Linked DNA regions of Arabidopsis thaliana. The protein of the gene in region 2 interacts with the protein of the main gene of each other region in a biochemical or structural test. Each region holds a gene or a part of one and is shown on either strand. Other genes may lie near its edges. The genes, in order: AHP5 and WOL.

Region 1 (4,394 bases), on a different chromosome or scaffold from region 2:
CATTCTAAGAGAGACTAGGTAGTGATGAGTAGACCAAATTAGATTTATGAAAAGAAAACTTGGCTTTGCAAGAAAGCCAAAGCAATACGTTCCAATCATAATGAACAAAATTAAAAAGGTCTAAACCCTAAGATGGTCCGCACTACGAGACAATTAACGCACTCGTTTTGGGACTCTTGTGTTTGTTTGGTGTGTCGTCGAATCCTCTCTCCATAGAAGGTAAGATCACATAGTAACCGATATAAGATTTGCTTTGACTTTTGAATCGGTTTCATGAAGAACCCTAAAACCAACCATGTTATAAGGATATTACAAAATTATTTTAAAAACATTGGTTGAGAGAAATAAAAATGATGAAGATGGATATGATAAAATGAAGGATAGAGGAGAAAAGCTTTGTTATTATTTGTTACATTACACGCCTCCATGCCTTCAATTTATGTTTCATTAGTCTCTTTCACTTCACATACTCTTCCTTTAAAAAAAAAAAAATGCTCCACCTAGTGATTACCATAGACACATGGCTTCACATTTTTTATTCCACTTATAAACAATCTATTGATAATTCTTCGACATTTTCTTTTTATTTCATTCCTAGTTTGAGGTAATTCGGACATTATATTAAATACATACCTAACAAGACATGCCCAATCCTTTCTCAATCTATTGTCACAATCATGTCTTATAAGCCCTATAACAATAATGTTGATAAAAGAGACCATGGAATACCGTTAACAAAATAAAGAGACCATGGAATCGTGTTATCCATAATTCAAACAAATCATTCTTGATTAATCCACACATAATGAAATCGTCTAAAGTGCTAACTAGTACCCGCATGCTTTACGGCTCAAATCAAAATCATGAATCCAATAGAGTATATCAGATTCAGAATAATGCTGAGAATTCTAAGTCATGATGGTCAGAACAAAGGCTCCAAATGGTGGTTGCATTGTGACAGGAATACATATGGACATGTCTATTTATAGACTAATAATTCAATTTTTACTCTTAGAACTCAATTAAGAGTCTAAACAAGACACGATATCTGGCCAGGGACAGTGTTGCTGAACCTCATTAATCAATATAAAACATAACAACAACAACAAAACTACAGAGGAGTTTCGGTTTCATTTGTGTCATCAGCCTTGAACATTTGCATAATCGAGAAACGCATCGGTCTAATTTATATCCACTTGAGGAATTGTACCTCCAGCTTGGAGGATCTGTTTCTCTAACTGCAACAACATAACATAACAGAAACAGAAGAATGAGAAGTAGCAAAAGGCTCAGTAAAAAGAATACACAAGCAGAACAAGTAGGTTTTCGCAAAGTTTAAAACTCACATTAAAGAGATCCTGAAGTTTAGTCTTTAACATCTTATATTCATAATCCACCTGCTGTAAACACCTTAGACACCTGTGCCAGATATCATTATCACAATTTGTGTGTGAATTAGAAGAATAGCTTCTCATATAATAAAAAAGTTTAGAGATCCAATAACATTTTGCATCAACAAGCTAAAAAATATACTCACCCTTCACGGTTCTGAACATCGCAACATTCCTTGAAAGATATGCACACATTTTTCACCCTCCTTGCACCGACACTGAGTACAAAGCAGAGACTGAGCCATTAAAATCAATGTAGTTTGGTCACTTAAAACTAGAAAAGCAAATTTAGCAGTGTTCACTGTGACAAACCTGGAGCTACTACCCTTGAGTTGATGAACACCTGAATCCACCTGTTTGAAATCCACATTATCTGGCCGCTCCCTAATGTTTATAATAAACTCATAAAATGCTGTCATGAATATATGAAGCTAATTTACACCCTCAAAAATGAATATGAAGGAGGATTAGAGACAAAGTCCCATGTTAGATAAAAAAGAGAAGCCTAAGAGAGTAAGCAAAGCTTACAGGGATATAGACATGGTATTAATAAGCTTGGAACAGTCGTCGAAGAATAGAGAGACAACTTCAGCTACAAAATCAGGGGTTCCTTCATCTTGCAACTTTCTCAACTCTGAGAACTGATTATCCAGAAATCCCTTCAAAACAACAACATATTATATCATCTTTATAAAAAAAATAAAAAAATTCAAATTCACACATAACTGCACCTTAAGCTTATCTAAGCCCAAAAGTGAGAATCCAGCCAAAGTAAGAAAAGTTTGGTTAGGAACGAACCTGTTGATAAAGAGAAACGATGTAGTCTTGAAATTGTCTCTGCAACTGAGCAACGACGATGGTGTTCATAGCTAAAGTTTACCAAGAACCAGACTTGTAAACAAAGATGGTAAGAGCTTCTCAAACATACATATACCAAAAACAAACAACGGATACGGTGAACTGTATTTCGACGGTTCCGAGATCGATCTAATCGGAGGTTTTTGGCTTAATTTAAAACAGATCCAACAACAACTAGGCGAAAAGACCAAAGAACAAACTTCCAACTTAACTAAGAGATTCCAAATTCAAAATCGGAGCGACACAGAGAGAGATGATGATGAATCTGATCGGAGCGTCGAAAGTTATAATTTATTCCACGTTCCGTTGACTGATTTTGACTTAAATATCAAATGGAGGGTTATTTTTGTAAATGACTATATTGTAGGAATTAATCAAGTACGTAAATAATATTTTAGTTTGTGGGGTGCAAATCTGATTTTATAGATAGGGAAGTTGCTAGCATGCGTTCTCCACAAACGAGATATCTTTTTTTTTTTTTTTTAAAAAAAAAGGTCCAGTCCCAATTGGGCTTAGGCCCGGAATTACAATCGTCCACAGTTACAAAACAGGAAAAATCCGGTCACCGGAAAAAGAGAACCAGAGGTGGATTTGGGCAGTGGAACGGAGGCAGCAAATAGATCTATTAGTACCGTCGTATACAAGGCCCACTACTTTGCAACACAACCACCGGAACGAGATCATTGGCCGAAGTATACGAGTCCTGCCGCAAATCTCTTACCAATGAGCTGGCCGGACCTGCAACAAACCTAACGGAAAAAACCCAGTTTCCGACACTCCGCCACCCAATTTGGTCGAGTCCCCAACCTCGCAAAACGACCACGCATTTCCAAGCCTCTGACCTCCAAAACCTTAGATCTGAAAATTTTCCAAAAGCAAAGCAACCTTCAATCCGGATTGATGGAGACAAAAAACGGAGGCTAAAGAAGGGTGATGGCTCAGACAACCCTTCAGCAACCGGAACCCGCAACAGCCATCTCAGATCCAGTTTGTTAACCATCAAACACGCACTGAAAACCCACCAATCCACAGCGTCTTCCGCCACAGCTACAGCGTCTAACCAAGTGGTTGAACCAAGAAAGACTTCACCGATCTCCACCGACGTCCATAACCAGGAAGAAACGGAAGAGAAGCCTCTCATCCACCGAGAAAGGGCCACCGCTGCCACGCTTACCGGAAAAACCACACCACTCCAATGCCGGAGAAGATAGCTTGCCTTACTCCTGCTTTGTCTTGCAAATTCATAACCTAAGATGAAGAACAGAGGCAGAAAAAACTAGATCTGTAAAAACTGGAAAAAACTTCAAAGAGAGAGAAAATGAACAGTAGCGGAACGATTGTCCAAAGTCCTCCAAACGAGATATCTTTAAATGTTGTTTTGCTAATTAGTGGCGTTTCGAGAGCTAGGCGAGCAACAATGGCGATGAGATTTAATATGGTAAGTGTGTAGTTAATTAACAAAAGTTCAAACCGGATGCTATTCTTACTTGTAAAGACAAACGACCAATTAAGAATCCAAATTTTAATATAGGAATTGAAATAAACTAATGGACCTTGTTTTTGGCGATTCATTTCTTTATTTGTTATCTTAATATGGGTCACGATTCCTTTTGTTATTTAATTGTATTAAGATGTGCATTAAGATGTGGAATAATAGCACTTATGCAAATCTGTGCATTGCAAAAAAAAGAAAGAAGAAGCAAGATGGAGTCAAGTGATCGTTCAAGTCAAGCAAAAGCTTTCGACGAGACAAAAACCGGCGTGAAAGGGCTTGTGGCTTCGGGAATCAAAGAGATTCCAGCCATGTTCCATACACCTCCGGATACTCTAACAAGCCTGAAACAAACAGCACCACCTTCGCAGCAGCTGACGATCCCCACGGTGGATCTGAAAGGAGGAAGCATGGATTTGATATCGCGGCGGAGCGTGGTGGAGAAGATTGGAGACGCTGCGGAGAGATGGGGATTCTTCCAGGTGGTGAATCATGGGATCTCGGTGGAGGTGATGGAGAGGATGAAAGAAGGGATTCGCAGGTTTCACGAGCAGGACCCGGAAGTGAAGAAACGGTTCTACTCTAGGGATCACACTAGAGATGTGCTTTACTACAGCAACATCGATCTCCACACTTGTAATAAGGCTGCAAAT
Region 2 (7,714 bases):
CAACAACTAGTCCACTTTGCTGTTCGTTACGGTCACACATCAACCACATTTATTTCACTTACTTCTTTTTTCAATCATTTCTTAAATTCTCAATAATTCTAAAAATCAGATATTTGTCCAAACCTCTTTGGTGTAGTGGCACAAGGAAACTTTAACTCCTATACCTGAGTTTGATTTTTCATGAAAACAATAACAAATTTGTTTAGAAAGTCTCTCAGTTGTGATTTGGTCCAATTAATTTATTTGGTAGTTAGAAATGCAGACGGTATGATTATCCTTGGTATTAGTCGGAAGGCATTTCAAATTAGAACCTAACAGTGTGGTGATCCAATTCTACCTAAATCGGGAGAAATTCATTCTGTAGTATTTCGTTGCGTTCCTACTGAAACTGATAAAATAAGTCGATAGAGTATATAAAAAACAAACAAAAAGTCAGATATTTTCTATATACTCTTCTTGGACAAGTTCCTAATTCTTCTCATCCTTTATAGATTACATCGAGAGATCCGATTAAAGGGTTGTTGATTGGCTTTGGTTATCTCACTCGGTTTAGTGAGATCGACGAACCAATAGTAAAACGCAGTCGTTTTTAAGCTTTGCTCTGTTTCTGTTGTTTGAAAGCTCAAGTCGTCGACTGAGCTATAGCTAATGAAGAGTTGTTTGAGCTCTTTCTCTGATCTTCGTTCAACTAGCTAACCGATTTGGTTGCTAAACAAGCTCAAAAGATGAATCAAAATGGTCTCGTCTCAAGTTATAAGAAGATGTTATATATGGAAAAGTTATTATTAGAACATTACAATGTTTAAACGACTAACCAAATCTGATACAGTACAAACGATCCCGTGGGATTAATACTTACGCTAAGATCAACACTGAACCGTCGTCTTAGACGTTGTCGTTTAACAACATACACTAGTCATGGCAAGCTACATTACTTCGGTGAAAGAAAAAAAAACCTTCAAAATCTCTAGATTGTGAACCTACTGTATGTACAGAAACCAAAATGCATATCAATCAGCAGAATCGGTCCACTCTTCCGGCTGCGGAGAGAGAAAAAAAACTCGCCGGAAGATTGGATTACGACGAAGGTGAGATAGGATTAGGTTTGAATGATTTGGCAACGGATTTATAGAGATTCTCTTCTTCAAAAGGTTTGGAGACGTAACCATCCATCCCACTTTTCAGACATTCCTCGTAGGTCGCGTGTATCACATCCGCAGTCATCGCTAGAATCGGTAAATGCCATTCGAGATTTGTCTTCTCTTTAGTTTCCTTCTCCATCATTCTTATCTGACGAGTTGCTTCAAATCTGAGAATCAATGAAGTTTATAAAAGATTTTAACCGAATCCGAACCAAACCAAGTCAGTTATAATTTGGCGGGAAATTTTTCATACCGAACAATTCAAAAACCGAATAATCCAAAAATAGTATTAGTTGTGATTTAGTTACCCGTCCATCTGTGGCATTTGAATATCCATGAAGCAAGCATCGAAAGTGTGTGGAATCTGAAGCAAACCCAAAGCAACTTGACCACTCTCTGCACAAACCACTTCTGCTCCAAATTTCTTGAGAGCTCCTGCAGCTACTCTCCTGTTAACTATATTATCATCAACCACAAGAATCTTCTTCCCTGTAAGCAAGCTCTTGAGAGTTGCGGGTGATGATCCTTCTGGATGTTGTTGTCTTGTTTTTCTCAGCTCGAGAACTTGTTGCAGACACGCCCCAATCATGCTTGCTCTTAACGGTTTCATTATTACCGTATCTGCAAATCCTGCGGATTTAGCTCTGTCGAACTCCGAATTTGTGATGTTTGTTGCGAATAGAGCTAGTTTCGGAGACTTGTGATGAACGTTTCCGTTGGTTCTTGAATTCAATAAACGAATCTCTGAGTCATTATCTTCAGTTGAAATCCATGAATCTTTCTCTACTAAGATCATATCAAGTTGCGGTTTTGTTGGGAGAGGAGAACCGTTTCTTTCAAACGCAGCAGCTGCAACAACAGCGGTTTTGAGACTTGTCACGACATCAACATTGATTCCGAGTCTTTTCATATGGTATCTAGTCACAGCAGCTCTAACAGGCTTAGCATCAACAACTATAGCTTTCATTCCTTTAAAAGTAGAAGGCAAGTGTTCCACATTAGGTTTCTTCATATGGTTAATCGCACTGCATTTATCGCATTTCTCTAAAACAGCCGTGAACCAGAACGTGCTTCCAATATGAGGCCGGCTTATGAAATTTATCTGACCACGCATAAGTTCAACAAGACACTTGCTTATACTCAAACCAATACCAGTACCTCCATAGTTTCTTGAAGTCGAGCTATCTGCTTGCATAAACGGCATAAACACACGGCCTTGCGCAACTAAAGGGATTCCAATACCCGTGTCTTCGATTGAAACCATAAGCCTAACATTGCTAGAAATATCAAACTCCGATAATGACTGCTCCTCAGAGACCAAATGCTTGAATGAATCCCAGCTATTCCGACCATCAGCAGCTTCGTAACCGCTCAATGTGTTGTAACTTGACTGTTTGGAAACAACGATCATTTCTTCAGACACTCCACCATTCAATGCATTTTTCGGTTCAGATTCATCTTTTGATTGTTCCGCAAGATGGACTTTAACAAAGATATGTCCTTTCTCTGTGAACTGTCAAAAAGACAACATCTTGATCAAACAAAAATCATATACACAAGCTGCCAACAAAGGCAGAGATTGAAATAGGGACTAACTTTAACCGAATTTCCAACAAGGTTTATGATTATCTGTCTAAATCTCCCTGAATCTCCTTTGACTATCTCTGGTACTTTGTCTGAAACGAAAACCGCGAGCTGCCAAATTTGAAATCAAGAAATTAGCAGCCACAACTCCAAATAGATGTATCTTTATTCCTTGGATTGAAAACTTACCTCAATGCTTTTGTTCCTTGACTCCTCAGAGAATAGAGAAAGGACATCATCCAATATTGAACGGATATCAAATGGTACTGATTCCAACTCCAGCTTTCCAGCTTCAATCTTGGCGCGATCAAGAACCTCATTTATCAATGCAATCAAAGCTTTACCACATACTTGAGCGGTTTGAGCGTAATCTCTCTGTGTCGAGCTTAGTTCTGTATCTAGGAGCATAGCAAGCATTCCTGCAGAAAATTTTTAAAACAGAATCTTTGAGGCAGTTTGAGAAACCAAAGATGAAAGGCAACAGTACTGGAATTTGTTTGAAGATGTAGTACCGAGAATGCCATTCATTGGTGTCCTGATCTCGTGAGACACGGTAGCAAGAAACTGCGATTTAGCGACATCAGCAGCTTCTGCTCGAACTTTAAGCTCTTGCATTTCATGGAAATCATCTTCGACTTTTACTATGTGCATAGCTGCACCATACAGTATATAACCCACCAAGAAACCAATCGCAAAGAACAATGGCACAGTTGTGAGCACATTCAACGGTATTGGTGCCTTTTGGTGGTACCTGCACTCGAAATTGTTCAAACAAGATATCAGTTTTTAGATATCAGAGAGTATTTTAGCTTTAAGATTTTCTGTGTGGTACCTGCATATCATCTTATGTTTCCTGAAGGGGTCTCCAAAATCGAGCTTGCTCTCATGAGAGAGAGATCTGTCGGCTTCTTCATCTTGATTACCATACATGACAAGTGGATCTGATGCATTGGTGATATCATACACATGCACAACTATTGCTTGGTTACCAGCAAGCTGACCAAGTAAATTCTCGACTAGAGACTCCACATCAAACGCACCACCAAGGTACCTGCATTTCAAATTCAAGCATCAATCTTTACTTTACACACAAACCAATCTTGAAATCTCAAAAAACCTCTTTCCTTTACATGATCACACACATAAACCAATCATGAAATCTCGAAAATCTCTTTTTACATGATCACAAGCAAAAGTTTGCTCCAGTAATCAGATGGGAACTTTACCCTGCAGTGGCTGCAATACGCTCTTCGACAGTCGGATTTTCAGGAAGAGAAGACTTGTAGACAGGGAATGTCAACACAACTCCGAGATGGTGAGTTTCCAACAACCTAAAAGGGCTAGTCAAGACAGCTTTTCCGGTTTCTCTAGCTCGCAAAATATTCTCACGATCCTCCTGCAGAAAAGATAGCCAAAATTCAGAAGAGGTGCAGGTCGGATACTTAACCGAAAAAACAAAACCATAAGTGTCTGATAATGTTTATATTACCTCGCCTGACATCATATCGAGTGACTCAAGGTAAGAGACACTATCTTGAGAGAATATAACAGGAGCATACTCATCCCTAACCGGTGAAGGCTCTCCTCTATCCATTGTCTTTATAACCCAATTGTGCTGCCGCTCAAACATCTCCCTCTCAAAATTCACAACTTTTTCAGCATAAGCCACTCCACTTAGCAACGGTCTCTCAAATGCTGTTCTTGCCGTGTACTCCGCAAATGTCTCCTGCAAAATTAGCCACAAACCAATGAGTAAAGCAAAGGCCTAAATTTCCCTTCATTTACTCAATAACCAAACATAAAAGAGTAAATTTCAAAAACTTCTGGTTCCAAAAAAAGTCAACTTTGCATTTATGAATCAAAAATTTCACCAAAGCTTTGAGCTTTTAATAAAGCACACACTGACCTGATCAATTGCAGAAGGGTTCTTGTGGTAATGAAAAGTGGAGACGAGAATAGCCAAAGCATGAACATGATTAACACTAACACTAAATTGATCCTGCAACATTCTAGCTCTTTGATCACACATGCTGACCAAAACCTCTTCCCTTCTAATCTTATTAGCATCATCCATCCACTGATAAATCCCACTGCTTATAAACCCAACAATGATGATCCACAGAATCAAAGCTTTTGGTAACAATGCTCGATGTTCTTGTATGAAAGTTGACCCTTTTTTATTACCCATTAGATCGTTATTATTATTATTGTTCATCTTCACCGCCACTGAATGCTGAAGCTGTTGCTGCTGCTGCATCTTCGCAAAACCCATCAACCCCGAACGCCAAAAATCGATCTTTCTCGGCTTTTCTGACGAATTCAGAGCACCACCACCACCCAGTTGATAAAAATCGCTGCTTTTCAAGTTTTCTAGTGACTCGGAATCAGAAATTTCAATTCTTCGTGGCTCTTCTTCTTCTTCTTGATGATTGTTGAGTGCCCAGTTCATATCTGAGCTACAACAATAGAGAACAAAAGAAGAAACAATAGTGAAAGAAAACAAAAGTTAGAGCCTTTTTTGCATACATATAACATAAAAGCATTGGTAGTGTAGTTATGATTAAGAATGTTACCATAAACATAGTTTATAGTACAGAAACAAACCCTAGAAACCTGTAGACGAAAAAGGACATGTTTTTGCGAATTCAAGAACAAAAGAGAGAAAGAAACGCATGGTTCTCAAAAGAAGCAACTTTGCTCAGTTTCCAAAGGTTTCTTACAGAGAAGAATTAAAAACTAAGTAATTATTGTCAGAGAAATTAATTAATACTAAAAAACACACTAATCAATCATAAGCTCTTTACAGGCGTGATTGTTTATTATTGGAACAAGAACATAGCTATGTTCACTGTCTCAAATCCAACAATAGAAAAAAAATTAAAGCTTTGACCAAAGAAAGAAAGAACACAGAGAGAAACATAACATTAGGAAGAACGACTAATAAGCAAGCACATGGAGAAATTATTTTAGTTACCTGTAATGAGTTGTGAGAGGATTGAACATTGCATTATTATTATACACAAAATCTCTTCTCATCACTTCAAATGTAGGTATTCCATTTTCTTTCTTCTTTCTTCTTCTTTTGTTTTAGTGAGATTTTTTGCTTTTAAAAGTAAGAAAAAAATTGAATCGAATTTTTTAGATTTTCTTCAGATACGTTTCTCTCTCTCTGTGTCTCTGTCTATATCAGTTTTTTGCCATGAACTTTCTTTTCATTTTTATATCTCTCTAGCTCTTTTTTCTTTTTCTAACTTGAGTCCAACTTTGAAGAAGAAAAGTTTTGGACTTTTTCTTAATGGCTCATGATATGATCCATCCAACAAAAGTTATTATTTTACCCAAAATCTCCTCAAAGTTAACATTATTATACGAAATAGATATATTTTCTCTAACCGAATTGTCGGTATTTACTGTGTATTTAGAGAAATTGCAAAGCGACAATGAAGAATTCACAAACTTCTCTTTATCTATAATTTTTTATAATGCTAATATAAAAGCGTATAATTTGGCGCGGAAGATCCGCACCGAACCGCATCATATCACATTTGTAAATAATATCCCTCAGGATTGGTTTACTTGAGCTTTAATAATTTTGGATGACAAAAAAAAAAATATAATTATTGTGACACTAACTAGGTTTGTCTTACTAATTAAAACATCTTTAAAACTACATTTATTCAATTTCATTACATTTCTTATACATCATTTAACATTTAAAGTAACATTTACCATGTTTAAATTTCTTGAATAAGTGAAGTAATATATAGTCACCAACTTCTCAAAATTTATTATCTATTTTTTCCTTGGTATAAATAAGTTTTCTGAACTTTAGAAATAAAACGTTTTGTTTTGTTTTTTTACTTACACCAAAAGGAAAATAAAACGTTTTTTTGTTGAAATATAAGAAAACAAAAAATATAGGTGAGTGAGAGACTTTGTACGAGAGTCGCTATCGCATATCTTTGGCGATAATGACATCGCGACAAAGCGCAGATCTGGCCCCATAGACCTTTTACCTGAAATACCCACCATTCTAGTCTCTTAACTACGAAAATACCCCGGTTAAATGGGCCTGACTCATAAGCCCATGATTTATCCACGTGTAATTCTTAAGACAATTGCATGAGTTGATTCAGGAGATTTTAGAATTCAAAATTTATGAATAACAATCAAATTATTTATTTACTACTAGTATTATACGGTAAACTATTTTTTATATTATTTAGAGTGTTTCTTTTTTTTGTAATAGCAAATTGTTATGACCTAACCACAAATTTAAAATGCTCATGAATTTCTAAAAACGTTAAAAACAAAAAATCATTAAATTATTACATGTTTGAGGCAATAGTAAATCAATCCCATTAAATTAGTACCATATTAAATGATAACATAGTTATGAGTTTTATAATGAAAAATACAGAAAAAAACATAGAGCTATTATTAAAGATACATGAAAATATTATTATTACCTTATATGTGTAGATGGAAACTGACGTGGGTTGTGTAGCTTTCTCTCGTGCGCTTAGAGACAGTAGCTTCTATAACTACATGATATTTGAGAGAAGTTTTTGAATATTCAAATGGATTTTAGGAACACTTGTATGGTTCCTTTGAAATATGCAGAATTAGAACTTAAAGCAAGATTGATAAACATAGAGAAGATACGTGTTTGGGATACCTTAATTTCATGGCTTGATCAGAAGCTTTCAGTCATAGATGAATGCAGTGTAGTTTCTTTTTCCGCTATTGATTCTTTGATCGCTGCACATGTCACAGAATTTTAGTAATGATTTTTGTTACAGATTTCTATATATGTTTATAACAGAGGCCAGTGAAACTCACATTGTGCTCTTCCGAGAAAGAAAAAACAAACAATGAATCTGGAATAAAGTGAAATTAACCTAAGAAAAATAGAAGACAATAAACTTGGATCGAATACCATTTTTTCTATACAATTTCATATCGATGGATCTGGGAATGATTTTTTT

Evidence for each region.
Region 1: the proteins of WOL (region 2) and AHP5 form a complex in vitro, tested with the Arabidopsis thaliana proteins (one study listed by BioGRID).

The regions. Positions count from the first base shown.
Region 1 is NC_003070.9:846,023-850,416, reverse strand, and holds AHP5 (histidine-containing phosphotransfer factor 5), read right to left. Parts: upstream 2,625-4,394; 5' UTR 2,259-2,624; coding exon 2,190-2,258; intron 2,051-2,189; coding exon 1,920-2,050; intron 1,776-1,919; coding exon 1,704-1,775; intron 1,610-1,703; coding exon 1,538-1,609; intron 1,420-1,537; coding exon 1,347-1,419; coding exon of another isoform or gene 1,290-1,346; exon of another isoform or gene 1,239-1,289; coding exon 1,182-1,238; 3' UTR 796-1,181; downstream 1-795. Other genes in the region: 2A6 (2-oxoglutarate (2OG) and Fe(II)-dependent oxygenase superfamily protein), read left to right, coding at 3,843-4,394. UniProt on the Arabidopsis thaliana protein: Functions as a two-component phosphorelay mediator between cytokinin sensor histidine kinases and response regulators (B-type ARRs). Plays an important role in propagating cytokinin signal transduction through the multistep His-to-Asp phosphorelay.
Region 2 is NC_003071.7:362,255-369,968, forward strand, and holds WOL (CHASE domain containing histidine kinase protein), read right to left. Parts: upstream 6,104-7,714; 5' UTR 5,763-6,103; coding exon 5,701-5,762; exon of another isoform or gene 5,183-5,700; coding exon 4,633-5,182; intron 4,453-4,632; coding exon 4,216-4,452; intron 4,123-4,215; coding exon 3,953-4,122; intron 3,778-3,952; coding exon 3,559-3,777; intron 3,478-3,558; coding exon 3,239-3,477; intron 3,146-3,238; coding exon 2,916-3,145; intron 2,838-2,915; coding exon 2,739-2,837; intron 2,656-2,738; coding exon 1,451-2,655; intron 1,310-1,450; coding exon 1,078-1,309; 3' UTR 729-1,077; downstream 1-728. UniProt on the Arabidopsis thaliana protein: Cytokinins (CK) receptor related to bacterial two-component regulators. Also binds the synthetic urea-type cytokinin thidiazuron, a potent defoliant and herbicide. Functions as a histidine kinase and transmits the stress signal to a downstream MAPK cascade.